Linked DNA regions of Rhinolophus ferrumequinum. The protein of the gene in region 3 purifies or fractionates together with the protein of the main gene of each other region. This does not show direct contact. Links are inferred from orthologs where the notes say so. Each region holds a gene or a part of one and is shown on either strand. Other genes may lie near its edges.

The links.
Region 1: the proteins of RAB6B (region 3) and SLC12A6 purify together in Homo sapiens (affinity purification with mass spectrometry; 4 studies listed by BioGRID and IntAct, with this or other methods). This does not show direct contact. The link is inferred for Rhinolophus ferrumequinum from reciprocal best matches to the Homo sapiens genes RAB6B and SLC12A6.
Region 2: the proteins of RAB6B (region 3) and SLC12A4 purify together in Homo sapiens (co-immunoprecipitation; 3 studies listed by BioGRID and IntAct, with this or other methods). This does not show direct contact. The link is inferred for Rhinolophus ferrumequinum from reciprocal best matches to the Homo sapiens genes RAB6B and SLC12A4.

Annotation. Positions count from the first base shown.
Region 1 is NC_046289.1:70,954,055-70,964,147, forward strand, and holds the start of SLC12A6 (solute carrier family 12 member 6), read right to left. Parts: upstream 4,629-10,093; 5' UTR 3,260-4,628; coding exon 2,989-3,259; intron 1-2,988. Other genes in the region: NOP10 (H/ACA ribonucleoprotein complex subunit 3), read right to left, coding at 7,955-8,095, 8,394-8,447.
Region 2 is NC_046298.1:17,504,549-17,513,883, forward strand, and holds the start of SLC12A4 (solute carrier family 12 member 4), read right to left. Parts: upstream 3,836-9,335; 5' UTR 3,771-3,835; coding exon 3,656-3,770; intron 1-3,655. UniProt on the Homo sapiens protein: Mediates electroneutral potassium-chloride cotransport when activated by cell swelling. May contribute to cell volume homeostasis in single cells. May be involved in the regulation of basolateral Cl(-) exit in NaCl absorbing epithelia.
Region 3 is NC_046300.1:34,132,058-34,142,212, reverse strand, and holds the start of RAB6B (ras-related protein Rab-6B), read left to right. Parts: upstream 1-5,494; 5' UTR 5,495-5,895; coding exon 5,896-5,965; intron 5,966-10,155. UniProt on the Homo sapiens protein: The small GTPases Rab are key regulators of intracellular membrane trafficking, from the formation of transport vesicles to their fusion with membranes. Rabs cycle between active GTP-bound and inactive GDP-bound states.

The DNA.
Region 1 (10,093 bases), on a different chromosome or scaffold from region 3:
AGCAGAGACAAAATGAAATAAATGGAAAACACTGGATAGAAGTCAGGAGGCCTACACTTCAGTCTTGGTTTTGCCACTCTGTGATTTACAAATAATCGTCTCTGTAAGCCTTAGTTTCCTCATTTTTTAAAATGAGGCTTGACCAGAATTCCATTCTTGATCACCTGAGGTTCCCAAACATGCTATGCCTCTTAAAAATTTTTTTATTATAAAAGGATAAACTCTCAATATAAACAAAAATTGTATATGCCCTTCTGAATTGTTTAAATAAAGGAAAATTCCCACTCTCCACCTTATTTTCAAAACTCTCCAGAGATATCCACTATCAATAGTTCCTTCTATATCTTTAAGACGTTCTTCATGCATAAGCAAGTACAGTGCCAAGACTCTTGATTTTATTTACCCACTAGACAGACCCTTAAGTTCTAATGAAACTCTGACACAATGAAAGAACTATAAATACTTTGATAGCAAAAATACAATTATCTATTCAAAACGCCAACAGTAGAAAAAAAATAGAACATAGAAATAATTATTTAAAACTTCATGTGTCTCCCCCCCACCCCCAACTTGTTTATACATTGTAAGTAAAAGGTATATAACAAGAAAAGAAACTTAAGGTGGTAAGCATCTTTACAGTAAGAAATGTGGGAGGCATGGGAGTTGTGGGGAAAGGATTGATAATCATACCAATATTACAATCACAGAAAAATGTAGAAAGGCCCCCCAAAAAACAGTCACAGAATTCTAAATATTAAAATAGCAAACACAATTCTGAAATACACTATGAGCTTAAGGATAGAGTCAACTGTAGAAAAGGAATTAGCTGTTTTCCTCTACTAACTCCAGTCCAGAAACAAATGTAGATTAAGATATGTCCTTGATTTTCTTTTGAAGATCTATGTGTAATGAGGGCATCCGCATATTATGAGGCTGAAGATGAAATAATTATTTTTCTAACCAGTTCCCTCTAATGGTGGAGAAAATATTTCACAGGATACCAGTCATCATAAGAAATTTTTTTTAAAAGAAAAAGTAGTTCATTGGGAAAGTAGGAAACTAGTTTCCTGAGAGTATGGGGGGGAAATGTGATGTAATGGCTGGATAGTTAACTTCCCTTTCATCTAGTACCAGAGAGTATTTAAACATTAAGGAATGTGTTAGAGAGCCAAGCTTTCTGTATCCACCTAAACAGCATATATTTCACCTAGATATGTCCCCTGTTTTATTTTACCCCTATAGTATTAAACGATAGCATTCTGGACTGTAAAGAATGCTTACAGGTAAGATAGTGGCCTGGGCAAGGATCCTGTTCTGCACGGCTACCACATTATGGAAATAAGCCCACTTTTAAAAACAGAATACAAATACAATTCCATAACATATAAGTCACAAGCCTCACAATACTTAACTATAAATTACCTAATGACAATTACAGCAGTAAAAAAAATTAACACAGTCTTTACCTGGTATTTTTACAACCTAAATACAGTATAATAAATAAAAACTAAAACTGCAATTTACAATTTGGAGGAAAAAAGTGATAAATTATTTTCATTCCATAACGTAATTTTAACACTGTGGTACACAGTGTAAAGTTTGTCAAATTGAAAATAGTTAATTCCTTGGGTACTAGTCTAGTCAGGGGACCACTTCTTAAATTATATAAATGTCTAACCACTATACTGTACACCTTAAATTAATATACAATATCGAATGTCAAAATAAATAAATTGTAAAAAAAAATTAAAACCAAAAAAAAAAGTTGGTTAAGTCCAGGAACCAATCTATAATACCTCCATTAAAAAATGTTTAGTCGAGGATAAGTGAATTCTAGAGGACTATAAACTTTACCAAATCTACTTTATCTCCAGACATTAAAAAATACAAACAGAAACAAGGAACTAAAATCATTCTGGTTTCCTGCGCCCTTTAAGTTAGGAGGAACAGTATTTCCTGACACCGGAAAATCGCTTTCACAAGTCAGTGGCTGAAGCTATGGTTCTCAAATTTGGGTAGAATATCATTTTTAGGAGTCTTTAAGATTCTTATGAGAATTTTCATTAGCAGACATACATCTACATTAGCTAGAAAACAGAGCCAAATATAAAGACTGCAAAACTAAACATATAAAGCAGTACAGCATTTCTCAAACTTTTCTACTTTAGAGTCCAAAAAATGTTATGATCTCTCCACTTTATTCATCTCTCTCTTCCATCTCCTCTTCCTAGTAAATCCAATGAAAACTTCCAAGCCAGCTGACACAAACTGGTTCAGGAAATTAAAGTCTGCAGTGGTCCATCTAAGTCAGAAGTGACTTGTGTGTTACTTTCTGACTACAAAGGCTCAATACTCAATACATACCATTTATAGTTCAAAGTAAAAATATCATGTAGGAAACAGGCCCTAAAAGCCTCTTTAGAATTTCTCCATTCAACAGGACAGCACACTAGATCTACCCAGACTCACCCAGAATGAACTTAGCTGCATGAACCATTCTTCGTAAAATACAAATTTTTAAAAAGAATTTTGTGATACAGTATCTGAAGTCTTTGTAGAAAAGCCAGTAACTAAGATATGATCAATAACTACTTGTAAGTGGCCTTCAAAGCTGACTGTACTAATTAGAGCCCCAAAGCTAGCTCTGCACTAAATTTTACAATTTAGGATTCTGTGCCAAAAAACTATTAAATTATTTGCCGTTCATCCTTAACGAAAACACTCATTTGAGTTCTAAGGAGACAAAAATGATCAAGTAAAATTAGACATCTACTTTTCTTCTTGCCACATACCTTCCCACATGCCAAATGACTATTGCAGAGAGCCACTATGCTAATCATTCTTCCAAAGGATTCCTAAGGATCTCAAAAAGAGGTACATTGGTTCCTGATGATTATTGTATAATAGAAAAATGATCTCCCAGAAGACAGTCATCCTCCATAAATAAGCCAGCAATAAAAGTATCCTGTCATCTGTGTTTCTACTTACCCTCTGTAACATCCTGGGGGTTAGAAGTCCTGTCACTGGCTGGATCCAGTGCAACAGTGGCCAGTGAAGTGGTGGCTCCAGACATCTCACTCATTGGCTCACTACGGCTTGTTTCAGGCACACTTTCCCGGGAGCTAAACCTTACCCGGGAACTGGATCGGGAGCTGAGGTCCGGGCTGGTGTCTGACATCCCTGGAATATCATCGATCTTTGTTGGTGTCACCATGAACCGAACAGAAGCCATCTTGGTGGTGGTTTCTGGAGGATGCATTTTTCTTTTCCTTTATAAGGGCAAAGAAAAACCCCGCAAAATCTTTCCTCCTACGCTAGCTGCTTTTGATCGCAAAAATAGAAAACTTAAAAAAAACTTAATTATCTTGATTTACACCACACAAACAGCCCCAAATAAGAATCCTTATATTCAGAATTCAAGCAGTGTCCTAGAGAGTGCACTACCAGTAGCTGAAAAATATTTAAGAAAAAACAAAACAAAACGGTGCCTATCTCCTGTAACTTCGTTCCTTCAGAATGAAGAGCTTTCTAGCTATCTCTCCTGATCCAGGGCCGCGGGCTCAGTGCCATGGTCTTACGAGTTCGCCTTTCTCCTCTCGACCCCCCGGTTTCGGCCGAGGTAGTTAGTCCTTTATCTAGTAAATGTCCCACGGTTCTAGTTGAGCAAAGTGCGCGCGGGCCCACCCTTATCATGCAAATATAGCGCAGATCAGATTGCGAAACGGTGTACACCCGGCCACCTGTTGTATATCAGGTGAATACCTCACAGGTCTGGCTGGGAGGTGTGTGTACAGCCACCCGAGGTTTTTGAGGCCGATAATCCACTTTGATCTTGTGGGAGAGGTGCGCATGCATAACGAGAAAAATATCCCACACTAATGTACGGAGAATGAGGACAGAAGGGTGAGCAGAGGAGGATACAGGGGCAGAGCAGATTCCTGTCTCCGAGAGGTCTACGGGGGTGGCCCGCCCGCCTGGTTTTCTGGCAGAAAGGTCCCTGGGATCTGGGAGGAGGCGGCTAGCGGATCGCGACAACTCGGACTGCAGTTCAGGGTCGTGGCAGGTCGTTGCTACTCCACTGAAGCCACGATCCGCTTTCTGGGTTTCTCCTGCGTTTGACAGGACCGGTCAACCCTTTGACCGGAGACGCTTTCTCCCCTACCAGGTCGCTGGTACTGGTTAGCCCCTCGAGGTTCTTCCTTCGGGTCCTAGCAGAAGAGGAGACGGCCTCGCGGGCTGGCCCTGGCTGATTAGGAGTGGGCGGCGCGGCTGAGGGACGGACTTCGCAGGTGCGGGATCCCGGCGCCAGCTGATGCGGGGTGCGCGCGCAGCTGTTGTTTACAAGCTGGTAACTGTTTCCGAGCCGCAGCAAGCGCAGGCGGGCTCTGGCTGCCGGGGAGGGCGCCCCTTCCCTGGCCAGACGCCAGAGTAGCCGTTACGTGACCTCGCCGTTCCCGGCCCCGGGCCCGGCGGGCTTTGCCCGCGCCGCCGCAGCCCCTCCCTTCCCTCCCGGCTTGTTCCTCATTCGAGGTTAACGGTCCGAAGAGAAGCGGTGTAGCGATCGGAGGGCGGCACCGTCCCGTGAGCGCCGGGAGCCCCGCCCAGCCTCTGCCGCCCGCTATCGGACGGAGAGGGATGCACGCATGCGCTCGCCTGAGTCGCAGCGGGACTGGGGGGCGAGGGGCGGGGCCTAACGTGGGAGGACCGGAGCACGATGGGAATTGTAGTTGGGTATAGAAGACTGAGCTATTAATACGTACACTAGAAAAAACAAATCCTTTTCCTTCTTGGTTCAGCCCTCTCGCACCAACTCTGGAGGCATCTCAGGGAGCAGGCAATGCCCCTTGCCTCAGAACCTCAAAAACCCTCTCTTCTTTAATAAAAGCATCTCCGAAAATACCATTCATAATTTCTTTAAAAATCACAAACCTCCCAATACCATATATCTAGGTATGACACTTATTGGAATTTTTATGTAGAGGTCTCTTCTAAAGCATTGTATCCTCAAGTTTATGCATTTTGCCCCCTTTTCCAGTCCTTAAAAAAATGCTGTCTTTCACAATGTATATTATATATCTATTAAATCACGTTGTACACCTTAAATATGTACCATTTTGTCAACTGTATCTCAATAAAGCTGGGGGGAAAAATCCTATGTTCACTTTCTACTCAGACTGAAAATTCCGTTAACGAAAATATCTTTAATTTTAGACCTAGAGAAAATACTTTCTCTTGACTCCATTCCCAGTGTTTTCCGTACTACTGCCACCAGAGTATTTTTCTTACCATGTTCATTTAATGCACAAATAGACATGTTCAATGAATTTTGGCTCCTCAGTGTTTCGTTTGAAAGTTATTTCCTATAGCTTTGATCATGACATTTAAATTTAACAATCTGGGCCCTGGCTTTGCCTGTGTCCTTCCTCTACACCAATGGAAATGTTTTAAGCATCATCCTTAGTAATAAAATCAGAACTGTGTTTAAGACCTGAACCAGGAAATTCCCTTTTATCAAATGACACACAAAGTCCACACTCTGGTTAAAAAGATCCACATAACAAAATGAGAAATAATCTCCACTTAAAATGTAAACCCCCTCAAAACTAGGTGCTTTATAATGCTTGTGCCTATTAATTCAGGCTCAGTTTGTTGTTGTTGTTTTTCTTACAGTGTAAGTTTACGGTAATTGCGTGGAGATATTAATTTCAGGAGAAAATAAGTTTCCATCCTAAAGAACTCAGACCCTCGCCCAATAAGGCTCCGTTTCCTACCTTGAGGCAGCAAGAAAGTCACCTCCCTGAGGGATGTTTTTTTCCTCAGGCAGGCCTGTTCATTCAAATCTCAAAGACTTTCCCCTTACAAAGAAATGCTGGCTTTCTACAACCAATTTTGCTTCATACACAGAGTGTTTTCATTAACTTATATATACTACCTAATACCTAATAGTATAACTCTTAAGACTCCCATTTCTGAGCACGTCTCAAATGTTAATACCTAGGGTACCAAGGAAAAATCCTTGGTATATTCAAACCAGTTTGCCTTTCTTTTCAAATTCAATTCAGAATATTTCCATGTTAGTCTTCTCATTTCAGTCTACACAGAATGTAGCATGGAACAAAGCTAATCTTTCTTTGGGGAGGAGGAGTAAATTATAAGGACAGAATTACTGTCAACATTAAAAAATACTGGTAGCAGATTTGATTAATTGATTTTGGTGCTTAAGAAACTTCCAGAGCAGATCCTTTTTCTTTTTCTTCTGAATTTTTATGAGTTTGACTCAAAACTGACAACAATGCCAGGAAACATCTGCTCAGCAGCTGCTTTTTCTAGCCATTTGCAGAATTTTTAATATTTCTTCAATCATTATCCCCTTAATGGGGCAAGAAAAGTCTTTAAAATCCCTCAGATCCAATGCTAAGAACCTGTAAGTGACTAGGCTAAGAAATAAAAAATTATTGACAGGAAACAAATATTTTGTTTCACCATTCCCATATGTTTAAGTAAATAATTGACTTGAAAATCATGTCTTCTATTAACTGTGACCCAAGTTTAGATATTTTTTCTTTTTTTCTCAGCAGTCAACAACTATCCTGAACTTCTCTGCTGGGATGGTCAGACATCAGATTCCAAGAGAAACATATCTATCCCTTTGCAGGGCCAGTCTGGATAAATCAAATTTGTGCTGAGATAAGTTACATCTGCTTCTGGAGTCTAGAATCTTGATGCAGTAGAAAAAGAAGATTGTAAAATTAGAACACAATCTCCACAAAGCAATTCTTAAATCTGTGGCATTAAGCAAACATTCAAATCCAATGTCAAAAGCCATGAATGAGATGATTGGGGACATGAGCGGATTAACTTGACAAGGTGAGGTAAAAGCAAGCTAGCATTTCTTGAATGCCAGCCAGTATACAATATTTTGCCTCATCATCCCTCTAATATAAAGCAATTGAATTAAAAATTTATGGTTGCCCTTTGACAGAAGCTCAAATCCTTAAAAATCTCCCAGGTTTCTTTTGTTATTAACCACCAACGATAGCTTGAAAAACAAAATCTCCACTTCAATCTCTCATACCTCATCTTTTAAATTCAGATCCACGTAGAGTTCCACATAGCAGCTAGCTCCCAGAGAGAATATAAAGTTAGGTGTATGTAAGACAATTCCTTGATGGAGAGAATTAAAAGACTGCGACTATTTCCAGAGGAGCAGTAAATATGCACAGAGGCATTCATATTCATAATGGTGGAACAACACTGTGGATATATATCCGCCACTGAACCCAATCTGTTATAGAGTTGGAAGAGAACTTAGAAATGAAGAAAAAATTGGGACTAAATAGGTTAAGTGACTTTCTTAAAGTTATGCAGAGAGGAGCGCATCTTGGTCTCCTGACTTCCAATTCACTGCTTTCCCTCTACAATATGGTTGCTATTATTTTCAAGCAACTCTTCCATTTTAAGTCAAAATGTCACTTCAAGGGGAATGATAACAGGGGTATTTTTCTGTAAATGCTGACAATTATGTAAATCTTTCTCAACCTTTCTTTCCCTTCCCCAACACCCTCCTGTCACTAATACAGCACTACTCCTGCTACAGCAACGACTTAGGATTTTCTTCCAAGTATTGTTGTGCCCCTGGGTACACTTCCCTCCCATCTCTCTTCGTTTTTTGTTTTTTTAAACCACGTCCTTCTTCCCACAACATACAAAATAAGAGCTCTTTCAAATCATTTTAATAACCAGACAGTATGTCAAAACAGGAAAAGAAGATTCAAACTTGTTCCCTTTAAGGTGTATGCTACCATGATTGCCTCGCACAAACATGATCAAAGGTAATGTTGACACCAGATTCCAAAAAGAAAGGGTGGTAACAAGGCATCAAGGCTCACAGATTGCAGCGCTTGGGTTCGGAAAGTCTCAGAGGGGTAGCAGGCGGCATGAAATTAAGGGACCCTCAGAGGACAGGGCGCGGTTGCTGGGTCATCAGCACCTTGAAACGTTTCTTGATGGTGATTCGGTGTCGAGAGTATTTGTCGTCTGGGGAGAACCGAGCAGGATGGGCCGAGCAGGTCTGTTGTCCCGTGGGGTCAAACTTCTGCTCCAGGAAGAGAGAACATAATCTCAGTACAGGTGTGGTGAGAAAACTCAATCACTGGCGTCATAAAGGAGATGGAGGCTGGGATGGGGAGGGGGACGCGCGGAAAATGATCATAAGGAAGACAGAAGACGCGACGGTCAAAGTAGCACTCATACACTCCAGCTACTACCTTACCACGCCTGGCTTCTGGGCTTTCCAACTCCCCCCACTCAGCTAGGCAACTCCGCGGCTGGTCTCAACCGCTCCACCCACCTCCACTTTTCGCCATGCCTATTTACATGTTTCCTTTTCTTACCTTCAGGGTATAGACCCGCTCTCCCTGTTCATTGAGGTAATACTGGAGAAACATGACCACGATGAAGACAGAAGCTCGAATTCCGTCAGCAGCTCAGTCTAACAGTCTCTCGTGTTTGCCAACTTCCTTCCTGTGTAGCCGGAAGTGTCTCTCTCAAGGTATGCTGGGAAATGTAGTTCATTTTAGGCTTTTTTCCAGCTGGGCAGAAGGGGGCGCACTAGTGCAGGACTTGGCCCAGTTGCAATCCAGTTGCAACCTTGTAGACTTTGGTGCCCAGTTGCAACTTTGTAGGCCTTCTAAAACACATGGAGGGTGCCCACTGTGTGCCAGACACTGCTAGGCGTTAGAGGGGGATAGGGATGGATATGAGTTGAACATTAGTGAATAGAATCCTGTCTTTATCGCAAGATGCACACCCATATCAGGGGCAGTGGATTTATAGTGCGTTGAGAAACAAAGAGCTCCAGGATTCAGAGCCCCTTTACCTTATGGAAGAGGGAAGGTTTTTCTTCCCTCCCCTCTTTTTCTATCCGGTTCTCCGGCCCTATTTCAAAATATTGGCGGTAAAGAGTGCATGATGGGTATTTAATATTCTGCACAGCAAAGAGAGCGTGAAGTTGTTTTATGAAACTGGTGAAGTATGTTTTAGTGATCGAACCAAGATTCAAACTCAGGTCTCTCTACCACAAACTCAGCGCTTATAGTGGTGAGTAGCTAATAATAGCATAATAAGATGTACCTTCTAGGGGTTATTTCGAATGTTTTAAAGAACGTGTAGAAATTCTCCTTATAGGACTCTAGTTTAAAGAAATGAAAACTGGAGCCCAGGTAATATTACAAAGATGACCTTTGCAGTATTATTTATAATGTCAAAAACATTGGAATATACATTAATGTTATAACCAGGAAACCTGAAAAAAAAATTTTTTTAAAGAAACGTAAAACGTAATGATAATACGTGTTTACTTGCAGTGCATAAAATATCTCTGCAAGGATTCACAGGAACATAATATTGGTTTCTTTGGGAACAAAGAACTTGGTTCCAGGGGAAAAGAGTGGGAGAGGGAGACTCGCTGTACACTGTTTTGTATAGTTTTACTTTAGACCCATGCTAATGTAGTTCCCACTTTAAAAATTAAAATTATTTAATAAAATTTTTAAACAAAAATAATTTAACAAACAAAAGGACTTTTTGGCCTTGAAATTTTAGGTTGAATGCCTGTCTTTGATAGAATGGGGCTTTTCAACCAAGGGTTAAGGCTAAACCTTCTGTGGACTGCAGAGCTGATGGTGGACTATTTGGGAACTGCAGGACAGCTTTCCAAGGAAATGATATGCATACAGCAACCAAACACCCTGGGTCTTCCCAGACAATCCTAATTTCAAGCACTCCGTTCTCCAGATCCTTAAGTACACAGACTGTGTGTTCTGAATTTGGTTCAGAAAATACAGCGAACATTGAATTAAATCAAGGGTCTGCCACAACCTTCTATTAATAGGAAGTCAGTTACAGAACTGGGTGGGATTTAAGGGCACAAAACTAAATATACTGGTGAAGAATTGTGTAGGGAACGGAGATGTACTAATAAAACTATAATGTTGGGAATCTGAAAATTTACAAATTGCCCTAAAGAGGTAGACAACAATTGTGTTGCCAAACTCTGGTTTGGTGGGAATTCCTGGTTACTGCCAATTTACCA
Region 2 (9,335 bases), on a different chromosome or scaffold from region 3:
TAGCCCAGAGGTTCATTTCTCTTGCTTGTAGGTAAGGATGCTGAATGATGCATTCGTCATCATCTGATACAGCCTCTTGCCATCAGTATGAGACTTCACTTGCCTTCTCTGGAGCCAAGAATCACTCAGTAGGTGCTGCACTGTGGATTCTTTATTACCCAAGGAGATTGACAGGTAAAGTGTGCTGATGACAATTTCTGGGGCAAAGTACGGTCTTCCTTCGTACAGCATGTGAAAGTGGTACATCGCCTCAACTAGGAACCTGGACTAGCGAAGTGAGCCAAGCAGCTCACTCCCATGAGCTAAACGACTGTGTGTAGGTCAATGCCAACAGCACAGTTGACAAGGGCAACAGGAGGTCAAGGCAGCCCACTGAGCCATGTTAAAGCCTTGTGGGGTCACATAGCTCCTCAGCCTGTGACATCTGTGACATCTGCTATGCCCTTGATGCTTGTTTGGGATCGGGATAAGGAGCCATAAGAAAAGTCTGAACACCCAGTAACACCACCCATTACAGTGACGGCCCTTCAGTGAGAAGCCCCTGAAAAGTACTCTTGGATTTTTATGACAAAAAAAGTGTCTCCCCTGAATAAATCAGATGCTTCATTTTGTCAGAAAATGGCAGCTATGGAGCTCGTGCTATTTCCCTTTCTGCCTTGGCTGTCAGGAATCTTCAAGTTAAATTTTTCCTTAGATGCAGTCACCATCTACCTCATCTCAGAGTCCTTGCCCCATTCCTTTGTATGGTTCTGGTCTTTCTGATTGTAACAATCCTTGGGGGAAGTACCAAGGGGTGGAACCTGCCAGGAGGTGTGGTGCATATCTCTTCAGATCTTTTTATGAAGTAAATTGGAAATAAATTATTCTAACCTCATGCATTGCAGTCTGCCCCACCATTGCTGCCATGTCTCTCTGAGGAGACTGCACTGGTATCCAGAAAATGCAGAGCTGGGCACAGAGCAGTTTTCCCAAACTGGCTATGGATGGTCCTCCAAGACTCAGTGGGTCCCTTGTCCCTTCAGCCATGACTCCAGAAGAGCTCAAAGCCCTTCCAAGCGTTGCCTCTAGTCCTGAGAGCAACCTTGCAGTAGATATCATTTCCCACCTTTTCGTAACAAGGAAAGGAAGGCTCAGAGAGATTCAGAGGCAAGGTTACCCAGTGAGAAGGGCCAAACCTGGGTCCCAGAATCCATTAGAGCCAGGTAGGAGCTTGTTCTCCCTACTCCTGTTCTAGGTCCCAGTCCATCCCAGGGTGCACCCTAGGCTGCAGTACAAGCCTTTAACTAGAGAAGAGTGTCTGGGGTTTGCAGTTTGGCCAGCGTGCACATACCCAAGGCTCTTGGTGCTGATGGTTGGCAGCCTGGCTTGGATTCCTGACCCTCCCTCTCTATGATCCAGGGCAACTTTCTTACCCTCTTTGTGCTGCCTTGATTTCCTCTTCTATGAAGTAGAGATAGTAATATAATACCTACTCTTCTAACTGCCCAGATGCATCAGAAAAGGGACAATCTGGTGCCAGACACCCAGTAGGTATAAGGTCAACTACCATGGGATTATGGGAATATGGGGCTCTAAGCAGTGTCTGGGTATACTGCCCTCAGCTATTCCAAAAATTCCAGTGCAGGTCTGGGCATGCCTGCCAGGCTGAAGCTGCTCAGATACCACCTGAAACCCCCGGTGAACCAGAGCATGGCCTGGGCCTGGGGCACTGCCTGTGAAATGCACATATATGTGTGTTCCTGGCTCCAGCTGCAGGTGGGTATCCAGGTGACATTCCTGCCTGATTCCTGTGCTCACAGGCATCTGCCAGGGGTACCCCTCTGGAACCTCTACACCCCTTGGAGCAGAGGTGTGGGCCTTGAGAGATTCAGGTACCAGGCTGGAGGTATCCCATGAGGTGGACCTGAGGTCACTGTTTTTGTACCCCAACCCTTCACAATTCCCACCAAGAAGGATCATAATCACTCACCAGGATGCAGAGTGTCCCCCATACCGCAGACACAACCAAGGTCTGGCTGAGAAGGAGTAAGAGGAGGAGCGGGGGGATAGTGGGAGGAGCTGGCCCAGGCTGGAGAGACCTGGCAAGACTCAGCCAGTATGACTCCAGGTCCCTCCAATCACCCTGTGAGAGGCCAAGGCGTGGCCAGAGGCTGGGCTCAGCTCTGCCTGCCCATTGGTCCAGGCTGCTCCGGATGCAGTCCAGCCCAGACTTTGGGAGAGAAAGCCTCCCAGGGCTAATGGGAGCAGGGATGTTGGCTCCTGCTCTGACCATTGGAACAAGGCTAGGAGCAGGTCAGGGCACCAGAGGTGAGGGCTGAGGAGCGTGCACGAACATGGCTGTCAAGCCTGTAAAATCTCCATGATGTCCAGTAGCCTATGCCACTGGCCTGTGCCAACTCCCCGCACAGCAGTCATGTGACACACATATAGGCATCACCCATCAGGTATGGATCACCTCAGTCATGTCACCATCACAGACAGATCAGAACTAGGTCAAGAGGGCATCACTTGACACATGCCACCAACACACATGTTCCCTGCGTATCTCCATCATGGTCAGACACAGACACAGGCATTTGTCATCAGTCATACTACCATCCTTATCACTGACACCCCTACAGGAAAGTGGCTATGAGAATGTGCTACTCTGACCCCACCTTCACCTTGTGATACCCTAGTTACACACTTGCACAGGCACAATTACACATGCATATGCCACTACACATACAGACGCATGTTTTCAGCAATGTTCACACTCCAAGAGTGGGCCCTGGCAAGGACTGCCACCTGGGAGCTTCCTGGGGTAGAAGATGGAGAAAGGGGTGTGGGAAGAAGCAGGCACCTGAGAGAAGGGAAGAGGAGCTTACTTCTAGGCCCAGTTCTAACACCTAGGCTAACAGTTAGGACACTGGAGTCTCCAATCCTGGGTTTGAATCCCCTGGGCAAATTATACAACAGCTTCCTATCTCAGTTCACTCCTTCCTAAGTGTGAGTAATAGGACCCATCTCTTGGGGGAAATTGGGAGGATTAAGCTAGTTAATTCACATAAAGCCTTTAGACAAGCCTGGTTCCGTGGTAGTGCTCCCCAGATGCCCATGGTACCTAAACAGATCTCAGCAGAGATCCACACAAGTGCACTCATAGACCCCCTCAGGCAGGCACACCCTTCTCTCCTGCCAGCCCGAGTGCAGGGAGGCACAAGGATGGGGGAGGGGAGGGGATTCTCAGGGGTAGAGGCGCAAATGGGTCGGCGAGACAAGAAGAGGCTGGAGGCGGTTCACAGAAGGTGGAGGGGCTGGGCATCTGGGATGCGGCTGTGCTCCCAGCCGGGAAGCGCCAGAGATGGGAGTTTGCTGCTATTCACGCGTCCGGCGGCCCCATTGGCTTGGCCTCCTTCGTCGGCCACGTCTGCAGCCCCCGCCCGTGGCCCGCAAGGGAGGAGCTGGGGCTGGGAGGGCGGCCCGACTGCGGGCGCCGGGGCCCGGAAAGATCGTGTCTGCGCACGCGGGGCGAAGGAGTGGTGGCGGCTGCTCAGGCTAAGAAAAGTTGGGCCCGCATCGACGTGTGCACGCACGGGCCAGGTGTCTGTGAGAGTGGACCCCGCGTGGCCGGCTCCCCTGTCCCCGCCAAGGCCCCCTCCGGGCGCGCCCTCACCGTCTGATTCTTCCCGCTCGGCGCGCTCCCCGTAGTCCACCCAACTGAGCCCCTCGAGGTTGTCATAGTCGCCGCGCCGCGGTCCGTCCACCGGCACCACGGTGAAGTGAGGCATCGCACGCACCGCTGCCCCAGCCACTGGCCCGGCTGTCTCCGCTGTCCCGGGCCGGCGCGCCCCGCCCGCCTGCATTCCTCCCCGCTGCGCTCACTTCCTCTGTTCGTCCCCCGGGCCGCCCCTCGGAGGCGGGGAGCAGGAGGGACTCGGGCCGGCTCCTCCCCGAGGGGGCTTCGGAGGAGTGAAGCCCCTCTGGAGGGAGTACCACTAGCGGCTCCAAACCCTGGGGAGGGCCAGATTCCTGTGTGACTTTGGGTGAGGGGCTACCCTCTGTGCCCCAGATGCGGTACTTGTATAATGAGGAAATGCGCTTCCACCTCTTGGGGCTGCCTGACGACTTCGTGAGGTTGGGCGTGGGGTGCACTGGCTCTGCGCTCTGTGCCTAGTAAATGCGACATTTGGGACGGAGAAGGGTCAGCAGGGCCCGGGCCAGGACCGCAGAGGCCCTCCCAGGGCCTCCCTCTATTCCTCGGTACCCTCTCGTTTCCATCTTCTGTGTCTCCCACCTCTCCCCTGCGTTCCTGGAAACCCAGTCCCAGTGAAGGTCCCTCCTTTCCCCTCACTGCAGTCTTTCCCTGGTGGAGGTGCTGTGGATTCCGGCCTCTCCCCAGAGGCTGTTGCCTCCTGGGTGGGAAGGACATACGATCCTCTCGCCCCGCCCCGTTGCCCCTTTGGTTACACTGGATTCTTTAACCAACTTCTTTCTTCTTAATTTTATCTTTTACTGTCTCACCTCCTGGGGTTCCTTTACCCAAACCGTTTAGTTGTTTGCTCTTAACATTTCTTTCACTTTCTACTTCAGTGCTTCAGATAATTTAGCCAGTTGGCTTTACTTTAACATCTAAATCTTTCTAGACTGTCTTTTCAGCGGTTTATCAGAAAACCCAAGAGCCCATTTACTTGTCTATCTCCATTTTTCTCCCTTTTGTGGCTCACAGGGCTTTAGAACATCAGAATCAGTGGTATTTTCCCAAACAACCCAGACAGTACCTTCTCCCAGCCTCCAGCTCTGCGGTGGAATCAGGAATCAGAGTCACTGGGCCTTGCAGGAGGACCTCTGAGCTGACCAGCATACTGGCCTCTACTCCAGTCATCCCAGCCAAGGCCTGTCCACTTGACCTCCTGTCCTTCACACCACCATTAGCTGCCCACAGTAGCAGCCTTCCAAATGTACTCCCTGCTCTCTCCCCCTGCTCATTGTAAGGCCACCTCTTTTGAAGAGAAAGCCCAATCTCTTCTTTTGGCGCACAAGGTCCTGCTCCATCTGGCACCTCCAACCTCTCCAGCTGCGCCTCTCCCCATCCCCCTCCCAGCCTCAACCCTTTTGGCCTCTTTCACTTCCTCAAACTCTGGGGAATTTCTGCAAATCACCTGCTGTTCACTCTGACAGAATGCCTTTTGATCTTCTACCCCCACCCTTACTTACCAGTCTCCTCTGTATGGAGAAAGTCTCAGCCTGGAGCACCACCTCCTCCCCAGAAGACTTCTCTGACACACACCCTGCCACCCCACCTTACCCTCCCCTGGATTGGGTTCTCCCGGGGCCCTTTCCCGGCATAGTACCCACTGCAGGGAGAAATGCGTTGATGAGATCTTTTACTAATGTTTTTTTTGTGCCCACTAGATTGTGGACTTTACAAGGACAAGACCCTTTTGGTCTTGTCACCTTGGCATCCTTAGTCTCTGGCCCCAGGATGCACAGCACGGTGCAGTACAAGCCTTTAAGTGGAGAAGTGTCTGGGCTTTGCAATTTGGCCAGACACATGTTCTCAGCAGTGTTCACACCCCTCCCATCCTGCCAACTCATGTGGCCGTTCTCCTCAGGGGTGGGGTCAGGTGCTGTGTGGGGGAGATAGGCCACTACAGTCCAACTGACAACCTTAGACGCTGAGGGACTCTGGCTAGGATACAATGTCCCCCATGCCATTCATTGACCAAGTAGTCGGCACCATCAGTGTACTCACAGGTGAAAATAACCTTATAGGCAAAAAGACATTTAGGAGCATAGACATTTCAAAAGAAAACATCTATCAGGAAAATTATTAGAACACATTAATCAAAAATTCAAAATTAGCCTAATAAACATATTACAAAAGATAAGGGAGAATATTAGCAATATGAAACAAGAAAATATAAAAAAAAATCAACAGAAACCTAAGGTATGAAAAATATGATTGCTTCAGTGATCTATTGCTAAATAACAAATTACCTCAAAACATAGTGGCTTAAAACGACAATCAACAAAAACATTTATTTGCTCACAAATCTGCAAGTTAAATAAAGCTTGTCTCTACTCCATATAGCATCAGTTGGGGCTGGAGCCCTTACTTCCAAGATGACTCACTCACATGACTAGCAAGTTGTTACTGGCTATAAGCAAAGAGCTCAGTGGAGATGTGGACCAGAGCACTGGGTCCTCTGCATGTGGACCTGTCCGTGGGCTGTGTGGCTTCCTCATGGTATAGTGGCTGTAGTCCGTAGGTAAACAGCCCAATAAGCAGGGAGTAGAAGCTCACAGTTTCTCTAGGCCTAGGCCTGGAAATGGGCACAGCAGCACTTCTGCTGTACTTGACTGGTCAAGCAGTTACAAAGCCCAGATTCAAGAGGGGGTGGGAAGGCATAGGACCCATCTCTGGATAGGAGAATTATGAAAGAAATATGGGACCAGGTATTAAAATGACTGTAATAATGTTTGAAACAAAGAACGTAATAGGTGATCTAATAGCAGAAAGTTATAATTGAGAATGAATTAGTAAGTTAGAAAGACCAAATTAAGGAATCCTTCCAAAAGAAGAAAGAAAAAAATAAATAAACAAATAAAAGCAACAGAAAAGAGATATAGAGGATAAAAATAGAAATTCTAATATCTGAACAACAGGAGTCCCAGAAAAAAGAGTAAAATAAAAATGGAGAAAAAGTACATGAATGATGAACCTTGAAAACATTATGCTAAATGTAAGAGGCCAGACACAAAAGGTTACATATTGTATGATACCATTTGTAAGAAATACCCAGAATACGTAAATCCACAGAGATAGAAAGCAGTGGTTAGGGGCAACGAAGGGATGGGGAGCAATTGCTTAATGGATATAGAGTTTCCTTTTAGGATGATTAATATGTTTTGGAACTAGATAAAGGTGGTGGTTGCACAACACTGTGAATGTACTAAATGCCATTGAATTTTAAAACAGTTAATTTTATGGTATATAAATTTCATTTCAATAAAAAGAAATTGCTAGAATTATAGGGAGAAACTGATAAATACACCGTAACAGTAGAAGATTTCAACACAACTGTCATGGTTACAAATAGGTCAAGAAAAAAAACAGAAGGATATAACAAATTTTAACACAATGAATGAACTTGACCTAATGGACATGTATGCAGTATATAGTTCTGTAGCCAGCAATTGGAAAATTACATATTTTTGTCAAGTATACCTGGAACACTTACAAAAATTGTTACTGGTTGTGAGGACTAATACCTCAACACAGCTTCTGCTTCCAGTCATAATGGCATAACGGCCCAAATTTACCTTTCTGTGTAAATTAAATAAAACTGTTGACCAACTGTATAAAACAATGATTTTCAGACATTAGACAATGTATGATACAGGGCTGTGATCCCAGATGAAAGAGAAATAAATGATGTGAGCCCTATGATTATACCAGCTTATTCCCTAGAGATATTTTCCAAGTCACAATGTGGGAGTAGAGGAGGGGTGGGGAACCCAGTGGTGTTGCTGAGTTGAGGAGAAAAAGAAAAATCATCATTTGGGAAGGCCAAAGCAGCTAGATTTTGCAGGGCAGAATACCATAGAGGAGAAAGCTACACAAAGAGAGACACTTGGAGATGTGTAGAGGGTCCCTGGGAATGAGCCAGAGGATTGATGTGTACACACATAAGAGAAAGCTATACAAGACCAGAAAAAGACCCACTGGAAAGAAGTAGGCTGAATAATTCTTGGAGCTCGTGTGGTTTGTGTTCCCGCCAGCTACAGTGAAAGCCCTTTTAATATATGGCACATTAGCTAGACTCCTCAGAAGGGCATTGCCTTAGTAGTCAGGCTAAATTAGCTCTAGATGAAATAACAGTTATCCTGACAAAGCATTGAAATCACCCTGTAGAGGTGGGATAGACCCACCCTTCCCAAAATTTGGTTCATACATCAAGACTAATAAGGCTACATGTACACCAAGAGGATATAGAAATGTTTATTACTCACATAAAGAGGCTTTCTGGGGAGAAGAGGATGACCTCCCAAGTCAGTCTGAAAATGGCTTCAGAGAGCTGGGAAAGGACACTGACTTAGAGCTTATGGATATTCAAATAAATAGCCAATAAGCACAGGAAAAGATGCTCAACATTATTAGTCATTAGATAAATGCAAGTCAAAACCACAGTGTAAGATTAGTGGGTGAGATACCATTTCACATCCTTTAGGTTAGCTATTATTAAAAAAAAAATAGAATATAAGTGCTGGGGAGGATGTGGAGAAATTGAAACCTTTGTACATTGCTGGGGTGGGGATGTAAAATGGTACAGCTGCTATTGAAAACAGTTTGGCGGTTTTGCAAAAAGCTAAACCTAGAATTACCATGTGATCCAGCAATTCTATCCTAGGCATAAACCCGAAGGAATTGAAAGCAGGGACTCAAACAGATACCCGTATGCCAATGTTCATTGCGTAGCCAACAGGTGGAAACAACCCAAGTCCCCATCAACAGGTGAATGGATAACCAATTGTGATCTATACGTACAAGGGAATATTATTCAGCCATAAAAAGGAATGAAGTCTGATATATGCTACAACATGGATGAATCTTGGAGACGTTACATTAAATGCAATAGCTAGATGCAGAAGGGCAAATGTTGCATAATTCCCCTTATATAAGTTAGCTAGAATAGATAAATTCACAGAATTTGAAAATAGAATACAGGTTACAGGAGGCTGAGGCAAGGGGAAATGGGGAGTTACTGCTTAATGATTACAGAGTTTGTGATTGGTGTAATGAAAAACTTTGGAAATGGTAGAGATGTTTGCACATTTGTAAATGAAATTAATGCCACTGATTTGTACACTTAAAAATGGTTAAAATCGCAATTTGTTATATAATCTTACCACAGTTTTTTAAAAATGTAATATATAATAACCATTGAACTGTATATACACTTTGAATGGGTGAATTGTATGGTATATGAATTATATCTCCATAAAGCTGTTTAAAAACAAACAAAACACCCATTATATAATTAACCAAATAATTATAATATTTAGAGGATGGTGGAAGGAGAAGGGAATAGCTAGAAAGTCTAAATTTTCAAATTTCTGAGTCAATAAATAATATCCAAAATTTATGACTAAAGAGCTGGCAGTTATATATATTATTTAGAAATACAGAGGAAAATGCCAGTAAATACTAACAGTTAAAAGTGTTTAAAGTGGTTGCTGGGAGAACAGAACTGGGGAGTGGGGAGTGTGAGGATGGTGGGGGTAGAAGATTATTCAAACTATTTGACAGCTCAATGTATTATCATAAAGTAAACATCTAAATAACCACCACC
Region 3 (10,155 bases):
CTCTGACTCTGTAATTGTCATGAAAGAGATTCTATGTTTTACTTTAAAATGAATATGCTACAAATTCTTGCATTTACATTTTTTAAGGAAGAAAGCTTACTATTAAATGTCATTCTCCAGAGACTCTGCTTAGTTTATATGCTCTCAGATTAATTATAACAAGGTCACACAGGACATAGTCAAGGATTACTTGTCAAAGCGTTGTGAGCAAATTAAATTTCCTACCATAAATCAAAGTTTGCGACTCTAGATGAACATTCATAATTTTATAACAAGCATCTTAATAATTACACTTTTTCTCAAGCAAACATGCAGAATAAAACAAGCATTGCAGTTTTTATGGCCTCAAGGTTAAGGGTTACATTCCAAAGAGAATTAACAGTAAGCCTAGAGTTAAACTGGGGAAGGTTAGACAGCACTCTTGCAAATAAACTACTTAAAGTAATGATGACAAGATTAGACTAAGCAGAGAATTAATTTGAAAATTTTTCTCTTTTATATGAAGGAAAACCAGTATGAGTTTTATAAAAAGAATGCATACTTATTATAAATTATTCAAGCACTCATAGAGGTTAAAAAAATTCAAATGCCATTGCTCATAAATAATTAGCCTCTATATTAAGAGGATATCATTCTAGACATCTTTTCATGCATGTGTTCCAGAAAGACTAAATAGATATATTGAAATATTTTGATAAATATGTGATTGTTTTATATATGCTATTTGTAATGTTATTGCATTTAATTGCATTTGTATTTAAAACTTGAAAAAGAATTCCGAAGAAATCTGAAAAAATTATGCAATTTCAAATAAATGTTTTTTCACCTTAAGAGAGTATTTTTTTAAAGATCCTTCTATAATTACAAAAAGATTTTGAAAGAAAAAACACTGAGATTAGAATAATCGTTTTTATTACCTCCTGTACGTCAATTGAGGCATTATCATTTGAGTCCCTGATATGAAAGATGAGGACATTAAATCCAGAACCTTCCTTTACCCTCCCCCACAGCTTCATATATTATATTAATGTTCTTACATAAATAGTATTTGTTTTAGTTTATAACTGTAACTTGTAAAATGTTTTATATTATTTCAGATGTTTCCAAATCTTACCACAGCTTCTCCACTCCTGAAATCTTTGTTTTGATTTACAGAAATTTAACTTCAAATAAGACCTTTACCCCTCCCAGCTCATGATATTTATTTCTTTAAGTGCTTATTTTCAATAATATTTCCCCTTAAATTTTTCACTCTAACTTGTGACTTATTTTTTCTTGAATCTTTAAAATTTTCCCAAGGTTTAGAGAAATTAAAAGATTTTTATCCAATGTCACACAGCTAATGTGCAAAGTCAGGATGCTAATTTCTAAGTTCACCCTGTTGTCATCTATCCATATCCTTTACCCTCATTCACTTATACACTTGCTCATTATCCATCACACCTAGGTAGCTCTGTATCTATCCGTTACACCCATCCATCCATCAAACATCTACTTACTTCTTCATTATTCCATTTACACACATGATGTAAACTTATATACATACATATGTAGCCATTCATCTATCCAGACATTCCACCTATTCCATCTATCAATCCACCCATCATCCTTCCATTCATCTACATTTATTTACCAACATCCATCCATCCACCCATATCTAGACACATACATAGATAGATCTACTTACCCAGACATTCATCTGCCCATCTACTCACCCACAAAGCCACCCATTCACAAATCCATTCTATTTCCATTACATTCAATTTCCCATGGATGCTTTATCCTTTCTATTCATCTAGTCATCCAACCAGTTTATCAATTTACCCAATCAGTGATAACTCTGAAACCCAGTCCTTCCATAGGATAAAGGAGTGGTCTCCTCCTCACATTCTCTTCTAATCTCATTCCATTTCCCAACTATCGGGAGAACACCACAGCCTTCCATGAGCACAGTAGGAGGTCTGTGAGCTCACACCCTAATTGTCTGTCCCTCATATGAAAATTCTTGCTACAGAGACTATTATTGGTCTTATGGTATCCTATTAAACATACAGCCCTCTGTTAACGATCTCCCCAGTTACTGAAACTTCTAATCTTCTTACAGTAACCAATTCCCTCTTTATTGAAGATCCATCAGCAAAGATTACAGCCTCAGATCACAAGGCAGAAATTTGGCCCATATTTGAACTCCTTTTGACTTCTTCCATCATTGGCCTGATGTTTTTATTATGGGCCCAACCCTCCATCAATTCACTCACCGCTTAGCTCTCAAGCCATCCAGCCAGCCCTGAATGTGACCTGCCGATTTGCACACACACTAGTTTAACATTTACATTTCCCAACCCCTATTATTGTAGGTTAAACAGGCCAAAAGCTCCACTTCAATGGACCTCAGTAAGAGCTTGAGGGACAGAAGCTCAGTCTCCCACTCAGGTGAGTGGTTCACAGTTAGAATGATTGAATCAAGGCCATTTATGAAAAATACAAGTCAAAACAAATGAAGAGGAAAGAGTATGGAAATAAAAATAACGTTTAAAGAGTCTCTTGCATAGTAATTTGCAAAGTAGAGATAAGGAAACTATAAACAAACTTAGAGTTAAAAAACAGGGGAAAAAAAGGAAGAAGAAGGAAGAAGGCAATAATACTGATAAGGAGGGAAAAGAGGAGACAGAGAGAGATTATAGCAGTGCCTGACAAGTGAGTGAATTAGCCCTGTCTTCTGGTTACCTCCAAAAAAACCCAATGATAGAGAAATTCCAGAAACGAGATGGAGGAACTAATATAAAAACTGTAACCCCTGAGGGGACTAAAGCTGGGGTAAAAGTTTGGAGCAGTCTGAAGTGAGGGTGGCAGGTATAGAGGTGGGAAAAAAGGGTTGTGGAGAGATTTTAAGTTCTGTTCATTCCTCTCTCCCATATTTCCCAGGGAAGATGACTGGTGGCCTCTGTCACTGAAGGAAACAAAAATCAGCAGTGTTGGCTTGGCTTCTCAGAGTAATATCAGAGCCATGCTGAGACGAGATTCTGATAAAAACTAATGCCAGCTAAAGAGAGTCCCAGCATTTACTCTTCTACCTCCTTCTCCTCCAAACCCTCATGGATGACGGATGGCCATTTCAAGGACAATGGCTGATCTCCTCATGAATGGTGACTGACCGTTCTAAAGATCTGGTCTTCTTTTAGTGCCGTTTTGTTTTTTCTCCAAAGAATTTGAAGAGAAATCCTGGACTAGAGAAACTCCTCTGTGAAATGAAAGCAGAGGGATGTTGAGTAGCAATTCTGGAGTACGTGAGGCTCTCCATCCAGGGGCTCATCCCCACTCTCCTTCATAATCACCAGGAGGGACAAAAACAGATGTTCATCATAGCCCTTGCCCATTATCAGACTGGGCAGCTGATAACCACAGGAAAACAAGCTTACAAGGCAAAATCAGTAGAGACCTAAAGAGTAAAACCACTATAAAAATATATACAACCAGCTGAACACAATGCATACCACAGACAGATCAAGAGTAAAATAAATATAAATCTAACAAATATATTCAAAGATATGAGAGAAGGTTGATGAAATGAAGAAGGAACAAGAGGCAATAAAAATAAACCCTGTGCCTCTTCTGATAGAAGAATGGGTAATTCAATCAGGACCTCAGGAAAAACTAGTCAGTTATTTAAAAAGATACTTGAAGATATTGGAAAAAGAACAAAGTAGTAGGCCTAGATCTTGGAGAAAATGGGAATCCAGAAAGGTACAGCTTCTGCCCTGGGAGCATTTGCTAATTCTGGACAAGTCAGCTGAGAGCCTAACCAGTGTTTTAGTCCATCTCAAAGGAATGGAGTGAAAAATGAAGAGACTAGGACTCATCAAAGGAGAATGCCTCAGGTTGGGATGAGAACTCAAAAATCTGCAGCATAGTAATAAGTTTGGGCTGCAAGTAGACCTGCTCTCACAAAGATTTCAGTCCAGCTTCCAATCAGCTCAGTCTCTGAAACTGGATTAAGGAAATACCAGTTTGCTAGGATTTCCTAGTGCCTGGCATGGCCAAATGCAAATCCTCCGTGGAGAAAGATAACACCACCCTAGGCCTCAAAAACTACAAATTAAAACTACTATGAGAAATCACTACAAAACCACCAGATTATCTAAAATTAAAAGACTGACAGTATTAAGTGCGGACAAGGATGAGAAACATTGGAACTATCATATACCACTGGTGCTTGGTACAACTACTTTGGAAAGGTGAAAATATCTGCTAAATCTGAAAATATACATACTTCATGATTTAGCAATCATGAAGAAATATACATATATATTTGGCACATATATTCACCCAAAAAACATGTATAAGAATTTTCATAACACTAATATCTGTAATAACCAAACACTGGAAACTACTGAAACGTCCCTCTACGATAGATGGATAGACTGATATAGTCACACAATGGAACACTATACCGCAGTGAAGATGAACAGCTCTTAAAACAAAACAAACAAAACAAAACAAAACAAGAGACCACATGGTGGCAGGACAGTAATAGGCAGCTTTGTAAACCCTCGGTTAAATTAATCAGAATGCCACAGGATGAGTCTAAGAGTGCTTCTAACGCTGCTCCTTGTTCTTCCCTGTTCAGGACTATTCTGTGCACCTAAATGGGGCAGGTGAATTGGAGACAATGAGAAGTCACTGTCCTGTCCTCCTGGAGCTCATGGTCCAGATACACTAATTGTTAGGGCAAGGAGTGGTGTTGTCCATCCTGTGGCCCCAGGGTCAAGGAATCCAGGGCATTGTCCTGGAGATGGCCACGCTGACTTTGGGGCTTCATTGCTCCTTCTCTCCCACGGGGCAGCAAATTTAGGATAAAATGATCCGTAGGAGCGGTTGGTATTAGGTAGGTGCGCCCATTACTGGTGCCTCCTCTCTTGCGGGCCAGGTCTGCTGTAACGCCTATGGCCCCACAGAGGCGCCCAGAGAAGCGATCTGGGCCTGGGGGCCGGGGGGGTGGGGACAGAGACCACTCGGGGTGACGGTGGAGCCCTCTGCGCGCGCGCGCGCGCACACACACGCGCGCGCACACACACACACACACGCGCGCGCGCACGGTCCACCACACCCTGACACCCTGGCTCACACCCCCCGTGCCTCCCTCCCTCACACGCACACACCTCCTCTCCTTTCCTCCTCTCGGATGGCTGCGCTGTGCATCAGTGTCGCGCGAGGGGGAGGAAAGAAGTGGCATTTAGGTTTAAAGACCAGAAGCAAATGTCCCCTGATAGTTTAATGCCATTTTTCTGGATTCAAAGGAGGGGGTAGAGTGGGGAAGACAGACGTAGAGGGGCAACGAGAGACGGCCCGATTCAGGGCCTGATCCAGGCATGGCGAGGCGGCTCTCTCCCGTCCGGGTGCGGCCTCCGGGTGGGCGGACGGACGCCCCTCAGCCCCGCAGCGCCGTGGGCCCCGCATGACATCAGAGGCTGGGGAGCGCGCAGAGCGCAGGCGCCGGCGGAGGAGGGAGGCGGGAGGGGGGCGAGCGGCGCGACACCGGAGAGCGCTCCTTCGCCCCGCGCGCTGTCCCTGCGCCCCGCTCCGCCCGCACCGCTCTGTCCGCGCCGCGCTCGGGCATCCACAGCGCGCTCCTCGCTCCGCAGCTAGCGCCGCCCGCGGCAGCCCAGCCCAGCCCAGCCCAGCCTTCTTCCTCCTCCTCCTTTCCTCCTCCTCCTCCGCCGCCGCCGGACACGCAGCCGCAGGCCGGGGCCGGGACGCAGCTAGGGAGGCAGGGACGCGCGCAGCCAGCCCTTCCCCCTCCGGCTCCCGCACCGCCGGCCGCCTCCCCTTGCCCTCCTCCTCCCTCCCTGCTCCTTCGCTTCTCCTCCTCCTTTCCCGATCCCGGCTGCCAGCACCATGTCCGCAGGGGGAGATTTTGGGAACCCACTGAGAAAATTCAAGTTGGTGTTTCTGGGGGAGCAGAGCGGTAAGTACCTCGCTTATTCTCATGGCTTGGCGCCGAGTCGACCCCCTTCGCCAAATCATCCACCCCCTGGGGGCCCCCGGCCCTGGCTCAGAAAGGTCCCTCCGTGCCGGGGTAGAGAGGAGGGATGGGCATGTGGAGGTCGGGGCCGGCTCGAGCGGGGCCGGGGAGGGGAGGGGAGAGGCCAAGGGTAAGGACCGAGAAGGCTCTGGGGCCAGAGGTGGGGATGCGGGGGGATCTGGGGTGCGGAGGCAGGTGCGGCGGGTCGGGGAGGTTGGAGGGCGGCGGCTCGCTCGGCGGCGCAGGCCGAGGCGTGAAGGCGCCGGGCTCGCTGGCTCACTCGCACTGCGGCACCGGCTGCGGGCGACCGCGCAGGTGGCGGGGCGCTGGCGGGTGTCGAGGGGAGGACAGACGCCCCTCTTTGGAGAACAAGGTGCGGCCGGTGTCAGGCCGCCCCCCACCCCAATGCACCGGAGAGGTTCCCTGCGGACCCTGCCTGCAACCATGCGTAATTGCTGGCACGTCCAGGCCCTGGGGCAGACGGCCGCGGTTGGGAGCGGGGTGGTAAGACGGACACCTGTCTCTTCTGGAAGGAGCGAATCCCGGCTGTGGGGGGAACAGGGCTCTTATTCCCGGTGTTACATACCCTGGCTACTTCCCTGGGCACAGAAGGTTCTAGACCCGCTGCCCTTCACCGGCATGTGTTAGCCTCGTTGGGGCTCGGGGTCAGGATGATGACAGCGAGGATTCCCCAACTGAGGCAGATTTGGGGGATGGTACAGGAGCGCCTCGCACCAAGAGGCCACCGTGAAGCCTGGCGCTGGACAGAGAAAGGACCAGGTGACACGCCCTGCTTCGCTTCCCAGCACCCCTCCCTAGAGCACGTGGGCAGCGGTTCTTCCCATCCCCACCTCCCAGCGCAAGGCCCTTCTTGGGGGAGGGGAGGTCATCGTGGCAGCCCGCCAGGGACGGGGGGAGGGGGAGAGAAGCGGCTTCCCAGACGTTAGAAGCCTCCCCTGGGAAAACATCTGAAACCCAGGCTGGTCCCAAGGTGGGAAGACCAGATTGAAGAGCATGGACCCCTGTGACACCTGTAGGAAGGAATGTTTCTCAGAGCATTCCTTCAGAGACATCTCACCCTGGGGCTGCAGGGAGACAAGTGGGCCTTGCCCACAGCTGCTCAGGGAGAAGGCATTCCCTTGGGGCAGGTCTCCCAGCTGTAGCTCTGCAGACCAGTCCAGTGCAGAGGGTGTGGTGCCTTTCTGTACAAGGGGCCAAGACACAGGCAACCTTGGGAGAAGTGGGTTGGCTCAGGGAACGGTGCTGCTGTGGTGTGTGTACATGTGGGTTGTGGAGCTCACATGGCCGTCTCCTGTCTGCTGCTCATCTTCTGGAATGGATAGAGCAGAGGAGGGTATCAGAAGGTGGTCAGGCCTAACATGGTGATGGGTCTTGGGGCGAAGCTGGGCATTTCAGAACAAGACCAAATCAGCCAGCCAGCCCTGTGTCCTGGACTCTGAGTGTGATCTTAACAGATTCCAGTTTCAAAGCTCACTCTTCCCCATGTGTCGCAGGATTTCAGGGGTGTTCACGTACGTCCCAGTGCTGGTCTCTCTGGGCCTGGAGCCCTGGGAGAGAACTCCGCAGGGCTCAGGCAGCCTCGGAGTTCAATTCCTAGTGTGTTGCCTTGAGTAGATTTCTACGCTTTGCTGAGCTTCAGCTTATGTCTCTGTGAAATGGTTACTTGTGGGTAGTTCTCTTACCCCCTCGTGTTTCCCCAGTGACTCTCAAAGGTGCCTGGACCCTGGTAGGTTCTCAACAAACGTGTTTATTCTGAGTCTGAACGTGCTTCAGTAAAGGGCCAGGGCTTGGATGAGGAGGATGTCTGGTGAGTTTGAGTGAAAACTCTGGGCTCCTTCAGAATCCCTGACGGGCTGAGGCTCCTGCTGAGCCGTGCAAACCCCCTTTGCTTCTAAAATCACAGAAATGAGAGCTTAGACCTCAGAGATGGAGGCCCCACCTCCCCGGCGTGTTTAGATGGGAAGTCTGAGCCCCAGGGATGGGAGGCCTGGCCAGGAGGCCCACTGTGAGTTGTTAACACTTCTGGGGCTGCAAAACCCACATCTCCTCTTCCCAGTGACCCACATGTCCTTGGAAAATAAGATGTGAATGAGGAAGTCCAGAATTGGGGACCCTTCCTGAGAGGGGGTGAGGGTTCCCACTTTCTGGCCAGGCTTGGGGCTGAGTTGAGTGACCTGGGGGGAACGCTGGACTCGGTGTTTTGGGGCAGGTTTTGCTGATCCTTCGTCACTAGGGATGAAAGGCTCTGCCGTCAATGTGATTGGCTATCGACCACTCTGTTCCCTCCTGACAGGGAGTCCTAGGCCTTGAAAAGCCTCCTCCCACTTGGGTGTGTCATCAGTGGGTTGTTTAGCTTAGATTTTATAGAGCTTTCAGGGTCCCTGAGTTTGGTAGGGACTTGTGCATCTCTGAGTTTGGTAGGACAGGGGAATTGCCACCGCAGCCACTGCTTCCATCTTGCCTGCACAGTTTTGCATGTGTTGGTCCTTTGTGCCAGCATCCTGTGCAGCCTGTGTGGAGTGGAGGGAGCCCCTGAGACCTGGCCCTCACGCCCACCCTGACTCTCCCTCCCTCACCTTCTGTACGGAGTGGACTTGGGCCAGCTGAGTTTGATGGAGCCCTCTAGAGCATCTGGGCTTGCCTACGTGAGCTGAGCCTGATGGAAAGGGGTCAGGGGAAGGGGCTGGAAGGATGTGGCCCTCTCTTGTTTCCTGTGCCTGGACAGCTGGATTCCAGAAAGGAGTACCTGGCCTGGAACACAATGATGAGGAGAAGTATCAGGCCTTCAAAATGCCCAGGTCCTGGTTTGAGTGAGAAGCCCTGGAGAGAACACCTGCAGCTCCTGAGAGAGCTCTCCCTCCTGGCGCAGAATGCCTGCTGCCCCCTGGACCATGAAATGCAGGCTGCTGACAGTGTCCGCCCGGCAAGGGATAGGATTGTGGGGACCCAGGATGAGAGATTTCCTTGCAGTAGGAAGACTGCAGTCCTGCTAGTGCTCAGACGGCTCCCTGGGCCTGCTGGTCGTGCCCGTGTTCTCATGGCAGTGGTGGGGGACGCAGGGGGTGAGGCACACCTGTTCTGACTGTGGCACTTGGTGGCATCCAAAGGAGACAGGCACTAGCAGGTGTCTAAGGAAGGAGACTGGGCCTGCAGGACACACATCTTCCTCCTAAATTCTAGTGGCATTGTGAGGGGTTCAGGGCATCTCGGTGTGTGTAGTGAGGAGAGGGGATGTGGGCATATCTGCTGTCCTCTGGCCTCTTCTGATCTTCCTTCCCTGAGACTCCTGCAGCTGAAGCCGGAAGACTGATGGACGTAAGAAGTTCAGGCTGCTTTCCCAGGCTCAGGCCAGGAGGCCAGCTGCTCCCTCTGACCGGACACCTCCGGCCCCTTGCAGTTGTGCTGCGACAGGTGCCATCCACGTCGTGCACAATGTGGACGGTGTTCCTGGGGTTGCACAACATGGTGACCCTGTGTGCAGCGGCCACTTGGTCCTGGAGTCATTTGTTCACTCCCCCCTCTCACCCTCCCCCGTGTCCCTCTCTCTTCCTTCCTCCGTCCATCATTCATTTATTTATTTAGTCGGATCTTTGAGAGTATCTCTGCCTCATGGAACTTATGGTCCCCTGGGGAATACAGACATTTGTGGGTATAATTACAGTAAAGGGCTGTGAGAGCTGTGACAGCTACTCTGGAAGCGCATAGAGGAAGAGATGCTTCTGTAGGGAACGGGCTGGTACTCCTTTGGGATGCGTATAAGGAGTAGGTCTTGGATGGGGCCCGCCCTCTCCAGAGAACTTTGTCTGTTCTTCTTCCTGCTCTGGAGAAAAAGTGGATGTGGGATAGAGGTGTAGGAGGTGCCAGCAGTGAGGGCAGCTTCCGCGTGTCTTCCCATTCTTCCCAGTTAAGGAGATTTTGTTCTGTGGCCCCCCCCACTGCCTGGGGGGGCTCACCGTCCCTGCCATGGCCTGACCCAGCCTCACCTCCCACCACTCACACCACCCATGGCCACCCAGGGGGCCCTTCTCCGGCCTGGTGGTTGTTCCTGGAGCCCATTCCAGAAGTTTTCTTCTCCGCCCCAGCTCTAAACTGGCTGGCTCTGCTGTGCCCCA